2 linked regions of the Sus scrofa genome follow. The protein of the gene in region 1 interacts with the protein of each later gene in a pairwise test. Links are inferred from orthologs where the notes say so. Each region holds a gene or a part of one and is shown in the gene's direction. Other genes may lie near its edges. The genes, in order: SETDB2 and ARL14EP.

The links.
Region 2: the proteins of SETDB2 (region 1) and ARL14EP interact in binary tests that used the Homo sapiens proteins (3 or more experiments, as listed by UniProt). The two-hybrid records come from large-scale screens. The link is inferred for Sus scrofa from reciprocal best matches to the Homo sapiens genes SETDB2 and ARL14EP.

Annotation. Positions count from the first base shown.
Region 1 is NC_010453.5:18,260,104-18,263,928, reverse strand, and holds part of SETDB2 (histone-lysine N-methyltransferase SETDB2), read left to right. Parts: intron 1-205; coding exon 206-299; intron 300-2,938; coding exon 2,939-3,264; intron 3,265-3,825. UniProt on the Homo sapiens protein: Histone methyltransferase involved in left-right axis specification in early development and mitosis. Specifically trimethylates 'Lys-9' of histone H3 (H3K9me3).
Region 2 is NC_010444.4:30,297,900-30,301,724, reverse strand, and holds part of ARL14EP (ARL14 effector protein), read left to right. Parts: intron 1-878; coding exon 879-1,006; intron 1,007-2,817; coding exon 2,818-3,046; 3' UTR 3,047-3,825.

The DNA of each region.
Region 1 (3,825 bases):
CAGTTAAATGCCTAGGAGTAGAACACAGCCAAAGGGGCTCAATCACTTTCAAGATTTTAGGATATCAGCTTTGAGGTTTTCAAAACTAACGTAGTAGCTACAGCCTGTGAAGATTGACACTTGAAGAGAGAAGCCTTACTGCTAAACTAAATTATTTTTTAGTTTCATCTAGAAAGAAACGACATCATCTTTGTTTTCTTTTAAGGGATTTTCTTCCTCAGAGTCTCTCACCTCAGAAGATAATGGTGGCTTTAAATCAACTCAAGTACATCTGAACTCTCCAGCCAAGGAAATGAGAAGTAGGCTTTGTTTCACTCTGTGATTGCCTGCCTCTTCTGCCTTTTTGTCTCTCTTGCTCAATACTTGTGGCTCATTTTTTTCAGACTCCATAACAAAAATACTGCATTAATCACAAGTTTCTACTTATCTAGATCAGAGGTTAGCAAGCTATGATTTGTGGGCCACATCCAGCTCACGACCTGTTTATACATGGCCTATGAGCTAAAATAGTTTCTACTTTTTTAAATAACTGAGCAGAAATGAAAAGATAAATAATACTTTGTGGCACTTGAACATTACAGGAATTTATAATTTCAGTGTCCATAAATAAAGTTATATTGGAACATAGCCATACTCTTTCATTTTCATATTGTCTCTGTCTACTTTCACACTATAGCAGCAAAGCAGAATAGTCACAACAGAGACTATGTGACCCACAACGCCTGCAGTATTTACTGTTTGGCCTCTTACAGAAGAAGTTTGCTGACCCCTGGTCTAGATGCCAACTCTGACCTGATGCATGGCAGGAACATGGGCTGGACAACGCTGAGTCTACGTAGCCCATCTGTGGCTTTGGAAGCATTAACCAAAACAGCCATTTCCTACCTCTTTGTTTAGGCTTCTTTAAAAATAAAGGTACATCATTCTGCAGTACTCTAGCCAGTGATGCTGCAGGGGATGCTTAGCAAAAGGTGAAAATATTGCTGCCCTGAGTGCTTGTCTTTCAGTGTTACCAGTCCCACCGTGGTTAATATCACAACCTGATGAACCTGGATTTTGGTTCATTTACATTTCACTCTTTCCCTCAATGGGAGGCATGCTGAGAGATGACCCTTTTTGAAGAACTGACTAACCACTGCCTCTTCTCCCTTTGGGCTTCCTTGTTTCTGCATCCCCAACTCCCCACCTGATCTTAAAGGCTGGAGATTGGAGGAGGCAAGACAGCCCCTTAACAGAAAAGGTCTGTCAAGAAAGGGCACTTAGGAGTTCCTGTCATGGCTCAGTGGTAATGAACCCAACTAGGATCCATGAGGACACAGGTTTGATCCCTGGTCTCTCTCAGTGAGTTAAGGATCCGGCGTTGCCATGAGCCGTGGCATAGGTCACAGATGGTGCTTGGATCCTGGGTTGCTGTGGCTGCGGTGGAGGCCGGCAGCTGCAGCCCTGATTTAAGCCCTAGCCTGGGAACTTCCTTATGCCACAGGTGTGGCCCTAAAAAGACAAAAATAAAAAGGGCACTTAAATAGAAGAAGAAAGTCTCTTTCCCTACCCATCTTAAGTTGTGTAGCTGGGATCCTATAAATTAGACTGATAAAAGACAGACTGGCAAGAGAAAAACAGAAGTGTATTACTCTGTGTATTATACTTGTAACACACAAGAGTACTCAGAGATGAGTAACTTGAAGAGGTGGCTTGAACTCTAACTTATCTAGCATTTCAGTAAGGACAGTAAATTTTTAGAGGAAATGAGGAAAAGGACCTTGCGTCTCTAGGGGTAGTAATTGTGGGAAGGCAGGTATATGTGAAACCGATTGTAGGTCCAAAGTTGTCTCTGGTAATTAACTTTTGTCCTTCATAGTAGGAGGAGGGACACCTTTGTAAATTTATATCCTGCTTTTAGACAGATTGGGAGGGCTGAGAGTTTTTCCTGAATTTCTGCTTAATTGCCCTTAGTTCAAAATAGTTCTTATGTCAAAGATGCATATTTTAGGATGACATTCTAATATGTCACCATTTAACACCTGTGAGCCATATGAGTACTATTGCTTTTGGTTCTTTTGTCATTTTTATTGACCATGTGTATATAGCAGGCACTACAAAAATTAATTATGTACTGTTATGGCTTACAAGCAACCCATGATTAAATTATAAGTACATGTAGAAACAGCCAGCAACCGTGATGATTACATCAAAAACATTAATTTTAGAGAAGTAGAATTTCTTTGTGCCACTGAATAACGTGGCACAAATAACTTAAAAAAATAAATCATTTTACTTCTGTTTGACATGCATGCATACTTTTGAGTATTTCCAAAAGATTATTTCCATTATTGATTAAGAAAGATAAGTAATTTGTCTTCTTCTATTGTTTGTAGAGGTATAATTATTGAATGATCATATAGCAAAAATGCCAAACACTAATGTATGCAGAACCCATAGCAATAGTTATTGCTGTTGGGACTTAGAGAGGGCGACTCCATCAGGGTCTTCTCTGGCCTTTCATTGATACCTTAAAGACTTACAATGCTCCCTAATTACAGCCGTTTAGAGTATACTTGAATGCACATTCCAAAGTTGAAAAGAGGTAAGTCAGTTTCTAAGGAGTAGAGATTAAATATAGTAACCGGGAGCAACATATATACAGATTCATTAAAAGGCACTGTTACATAGTAGAAAGAAGGTAGATTTTGGGCCAGATATTTTTGGGTTTGTTACTGCCCCCCACCCCCACCCTGCCTTATTATTGCAATAGAGGTGAATCCCTTAACACTTCAAAAGTTCAGAGTTTTCTTTTGTAAAATTGGAGTACTGTCTACCTTAACACATGGTAAGGATTAGCAATAATGAATGTAACGAGCATTTAATTAGTATTACTGCTCTCAGCACTATTGCTTAGTCAAGTATTTTTCCTGACAATTCCTTCCAAAATGTTTATTAGTGGATTCAAGCTCAAACCAAGTTGAAGATTCTAAAGCCAACCCTCTGATTGAATTGGATGTGATAGATATAACTAAATGTAGAGAAGAAACTCCACAGGGGAGCAGATATAACCAAGCAGTCACACTGGATAATCCGAATGAGGTTCAAAAACAAAAGCCCCAAGAGAAAAAGTCTCCAGCATGTCAAAACCAGCAGGCCTTTTGTGATAAAGAGATACCAAGTGAAACCAAGAATGCTTCACCTGATTCTCCAAAGAAGTTCAATAAAGGCAGTATGTTTTTATTGGATGCCACAAAAGAAGGAAATGTGGGACGCTTCCTTAATGTGAGTATGTGGGCTGAGATTCTTATTTCTAAACACTTTTTCTAGGCTTCTTAACAAAATCATGAGGAAAATATGATTAACAGACTCCAAAACTAGACTCCCTGGATTAGAATGCCAGCCCTCCACTTGTATGACCTGGGCATGCTGTTTGACCTCTCTATGCCATACTTCCCACCTCTATAATATGGAGATAATAGTAACACTGTCTAGAATGTTGTGAAGGTTAAATGTGTTAATATAAAAAGTGCTTAAATGGTAGCTGGCATACAGTAAACGTTTGCTTAGGAAAACTATAAGAAATGGTATGTAAGAAAATCATGTGTTTATCAAAAGGTTTTCAAAAGCTTCACTTCAAAAAAATCACAATGGGACAGGTGGAATAGGTTTCTCTTTTGTGTCTTATACAATGTATTTTATTCAAAAATGCCTCTTTTCAAATACTTTCATTTGGAAGTATTTATGTTTTACTTACTCTCACTACATTTTGAGTGATTTAGTGGCTTACTACAGAACACCAGTACATTTATCAGAGTATTGCATTTTACTGTTGTACTCCTTTTT
Region 2 (3,825 bases), on another chromosome or scaffold:
CTATCTCTAGGACCCAATGTTATTTTGCAATTCATGCTATGTACTTGCTACTGTCACTTCATTTTCCACTTCATTTATCTCTTGTTCATGTAGAATGTATTACATAAACCTTTTTCTTTTCCCCAGGTTATGAACCCATAGCCATCAAAATTTTATTTCACCAAATTTTTTTAGACGATTATAATACCATTTCAGAACTATATTCTCTGCTTTTAAAAATACATGTAATAGGGAGTTACTGTTGTGGCTCAGCTGGTTAAGAACCCGACTAGTATCCACGAGGGTACAGCTTGGAGCCCTGGCCTTGCTTAGTAGGTGAAGGATCCAGCCCAGTGTTGGCGCAAGCAGCAGTGTAGGTCGCAGTTGCAACTTGGATCTGGCATTGCTGTTGGCTCTGGCATAGGCAGCAGCTGCATCTCCAATTTGACCCCTAGCCTGGGAACTTCCATATCCTGAGGGTGCAGCCCTAAAAAGAAAAAAAAAATATGTGTGTAATAGAACTTTTTCCTAAGGACTCAACATCCTTGTTGGGAACCTCTGCTATATATGCTGTTGGGTTATACAGTTTTTCTGCCTTCTCTCCCATGTTGGCAGCAGCCATTGTGATTTTCACCATGCCTGCCTCCTCTTCTAATATTCAGAGACTAAAATTAGATAAAGAAACAGTTATAAATAAGTTAATCAATGAACTTTAAATGTGGTCCAGGGCCATGTAAATTTTGTTGCATACGAGCACTAAAACCTTTTTTTTCTTTTTTGTGAGTTCCAGAGTGTCTTCCAGGTTAAGGAATAATCTGGATTAACTTGAAGTGAAATATTAATCTTTGTATGGTTTTGGTATCAAGATTTGAGTTGATAATTTGTTTACCTTTATTCAGGGAAGAACTGCTAAGGCTTTGAGGTCATTACAATTTGCAAACCCGGGAAAACAAACTGAATTTGCTCCAGAAACTGGTAAAAGAGAAAAAAGAAGGCTTACAAAAAATGCAACTGCTGGTTCAGACAGGTAGGCTATGTGTAATTTTAAGGCATGTGTTGCTGCTTCACATGTGTATTTTTAAAATATTTTTCTTTTAAGTTTTGAGTTTTCTGGTTAGACATTTTAAATTTGATAATCTGGAATTAAGGCTTCGATCCCTGGCCTCGCTCAGTAGGTTAAGGATCTGCTGTTGCTGTGAGCCGTGGTGTAGGCCGGCAGCTGTAGCTCCAATCAGACCCCTAACCCAGGAACCTCCATATGCCACAGGTGCAGCCCTCAAAAGCAAAAAAAAATAAAAAAGATAATCTGGAAAAAAGAAAATCTGGAATGAATCAGTAAGAATCTCTAAGGGCCTCGTGTAACATTAAGGCTTCCCTTCCCCTCTAAAAATTTGTTTTTCAGAAAATATCAATGAAGGAAGCAATACAGTATTTTTGGCACAAGAATTAAAATAATTTAAACATACGCTTCTTACAATTAAATGAATTCACTTGTTTGAAAAGCATTAATATATAATTGGGGGGGTTCCTGTTGTGGCTCAGCAGCGACAAGCCCAACTAGTATCCGTGAGGACATGGGTTCAATCCCTGGCCTCACTCATTGGGTTTAGGACCTGGCATTGCCATGAGCTGTAGTGTAGGTCACAGACATGGCTCAGATCCAGCATTGATATGGCTGTGGTGTAGGGTTGTAGCTCCAATTTGACTCAGCCTGGGAAACTCCACATGCCATGGGTGTAGCCCAAAAAATGTATATGTATATATATTTGGTATATATATGTAATTGGTATATCTCTGCTCTATGAGTGGCAGCTAAAAAATAAACTTTATGAGAATGAAAGGTGGTTTTTATTTTTTAAGTGTCTAAAATAGAAACCGTTAATGTACAGTCAATAGAATGAACAGGAATTCTAAATTGTTTTGAATGACTTTTTTTTTTTTTGGCAGCATGCAGAAGTTCCCAGGCCAGGCCAGGGATCAGATGCACACCACAGCAGAAGCCCAGGCTGCTGCAGTGATAATGCCCCTTACTTAACCTGCTGCACCACAAGGGAACTCCAGAATATGGCCACACCTGCAGCATATGAAAGTTTCTGGGCCGGGGATTGAATCCAAGCTGCAGCAGCTGGATTGTTTAACCCACTGTGCCTGGCTCGGGATTGAACCACACTTCCCTGTAGCAACCCAAGCAGCTGCAGTTGATTTCTTAACCCAACTGTATCACAGCGAGAACTCCCAGAATGTGACTTTTTAAATTGAACATTTCTAAAATACAAATTGACAATGAAATGTTAGTGTAATCATTCAGAATTCTTTTCTGCATATGCCATTTATTCCATCTGTTAAAGTTTTCCATTAAGTCATGTGTTTTTAGGCCAGATTTGCTAGAGTCCATTAAAGAACAAGAAACAGATTAATTATAGTATAAAAACAATTGAATAGTATCTCATAAAAAAAAACTATGTTCACAAAGCAGTAAAGAGATTGGTTGCTAATAAAATAATATACCATTATTACCTAGCCTTTTTTTTTTTTTTTTTTTGCAAGGGGAAAATAATTTTTAAATTTAATATGTTGGGACACAGTTCTTGTCCATTCCTTAGGATTTGTCTTAATGCTTTAAGAGTGAAATAAATCTCTTACTTTCACAAGGAGTTCATTAACTACTAATTGTAGAGTAGCCATGAATCTGGTAGGCCATGTATCGATTTGGCAGGATTTCATCCCTAATTCAAAACATTTTATCTCCTTAAAATCTTTTCATTACTTTATTTTCAGTAAGATATTCAGAAATAATGTATTTGTGAGGTGTAACTCACCTTGTGTTTTGTATTACAGACAAGTGATCCCAGCGAAGAGTAAGGTCTATGATAGCCAGGGTCTCCTCATTTTCAGTGGAATGGACCTCTGCGACTGCCTCGATGAAGACTGCTTAGGATGTTTCTATGCTTGTCCTGCCTGTGGTTCTACCAAATGTGGAGCCGAATGCCGCTGTGACCGCAAGTGGCTGTATGAGCAGATTGAAATCGAAGGAGGAGAAATAATTCATAACAAACATGCTGGATAACTTGTGGTATCAAATTAGGGGATCTTTAAAGGTCCCTTCTCTATATCTAGAATTTTGTTATTCTAAGACACATTTTAAAGTTGATTGCCAAATGACGAAAATTTGAAAACCATCTCAACATGCACTCCATGTGCACTAATGTTGCTTGTAGAGTGCTTTAAGAGTCATTATTTGGTATAAATTTAGATGGGCTATTTATTACTCAGTCAGCTTTAAGCCTGTCCATGTCCACATAAACAAGTAGTGTATAGGCAGTCCTTGATTTGCACAGTTCCCATGTCCACAGATTTCAGTGACAATGACTTAGTTAGATAAACTAGTTCCCTAACAGCACAGTTCAAATTTCAGTTACCATGGTATATTATTAATTCAGTAGTTACATGAAGTGCAGACTTCCTGCTAGTTCTTAAGTCCACATATCACTTTGTGAGTAACAGGTGTGTTTCAAGATCAGTGACCAGTCATGTTACTTTTCTCAAATTCTGCTAGATTGGTCACTGCCCATCTGTTACAGTTTATTTACAGACAGCAAAGCACATAGTTGTGTTGTCTCCTTGTCACCCATGTGACATTTTACAAAGTGGATAATGAGAAGAATTGGCCAACAAAGATGAAAGTGCAGTGAAGAAATGAAAATGATAATGCCAGCAGTGAGACTTCATTTAAACTTAGATGGAGTCTAGAAGAAATCACTGATCATTGGACTGTTGGCACTGCTGTATTCTAAAGCCTCTGACATGCAGCTAGAGGAACTTAGTGAAGGCAGACTTACCATCATA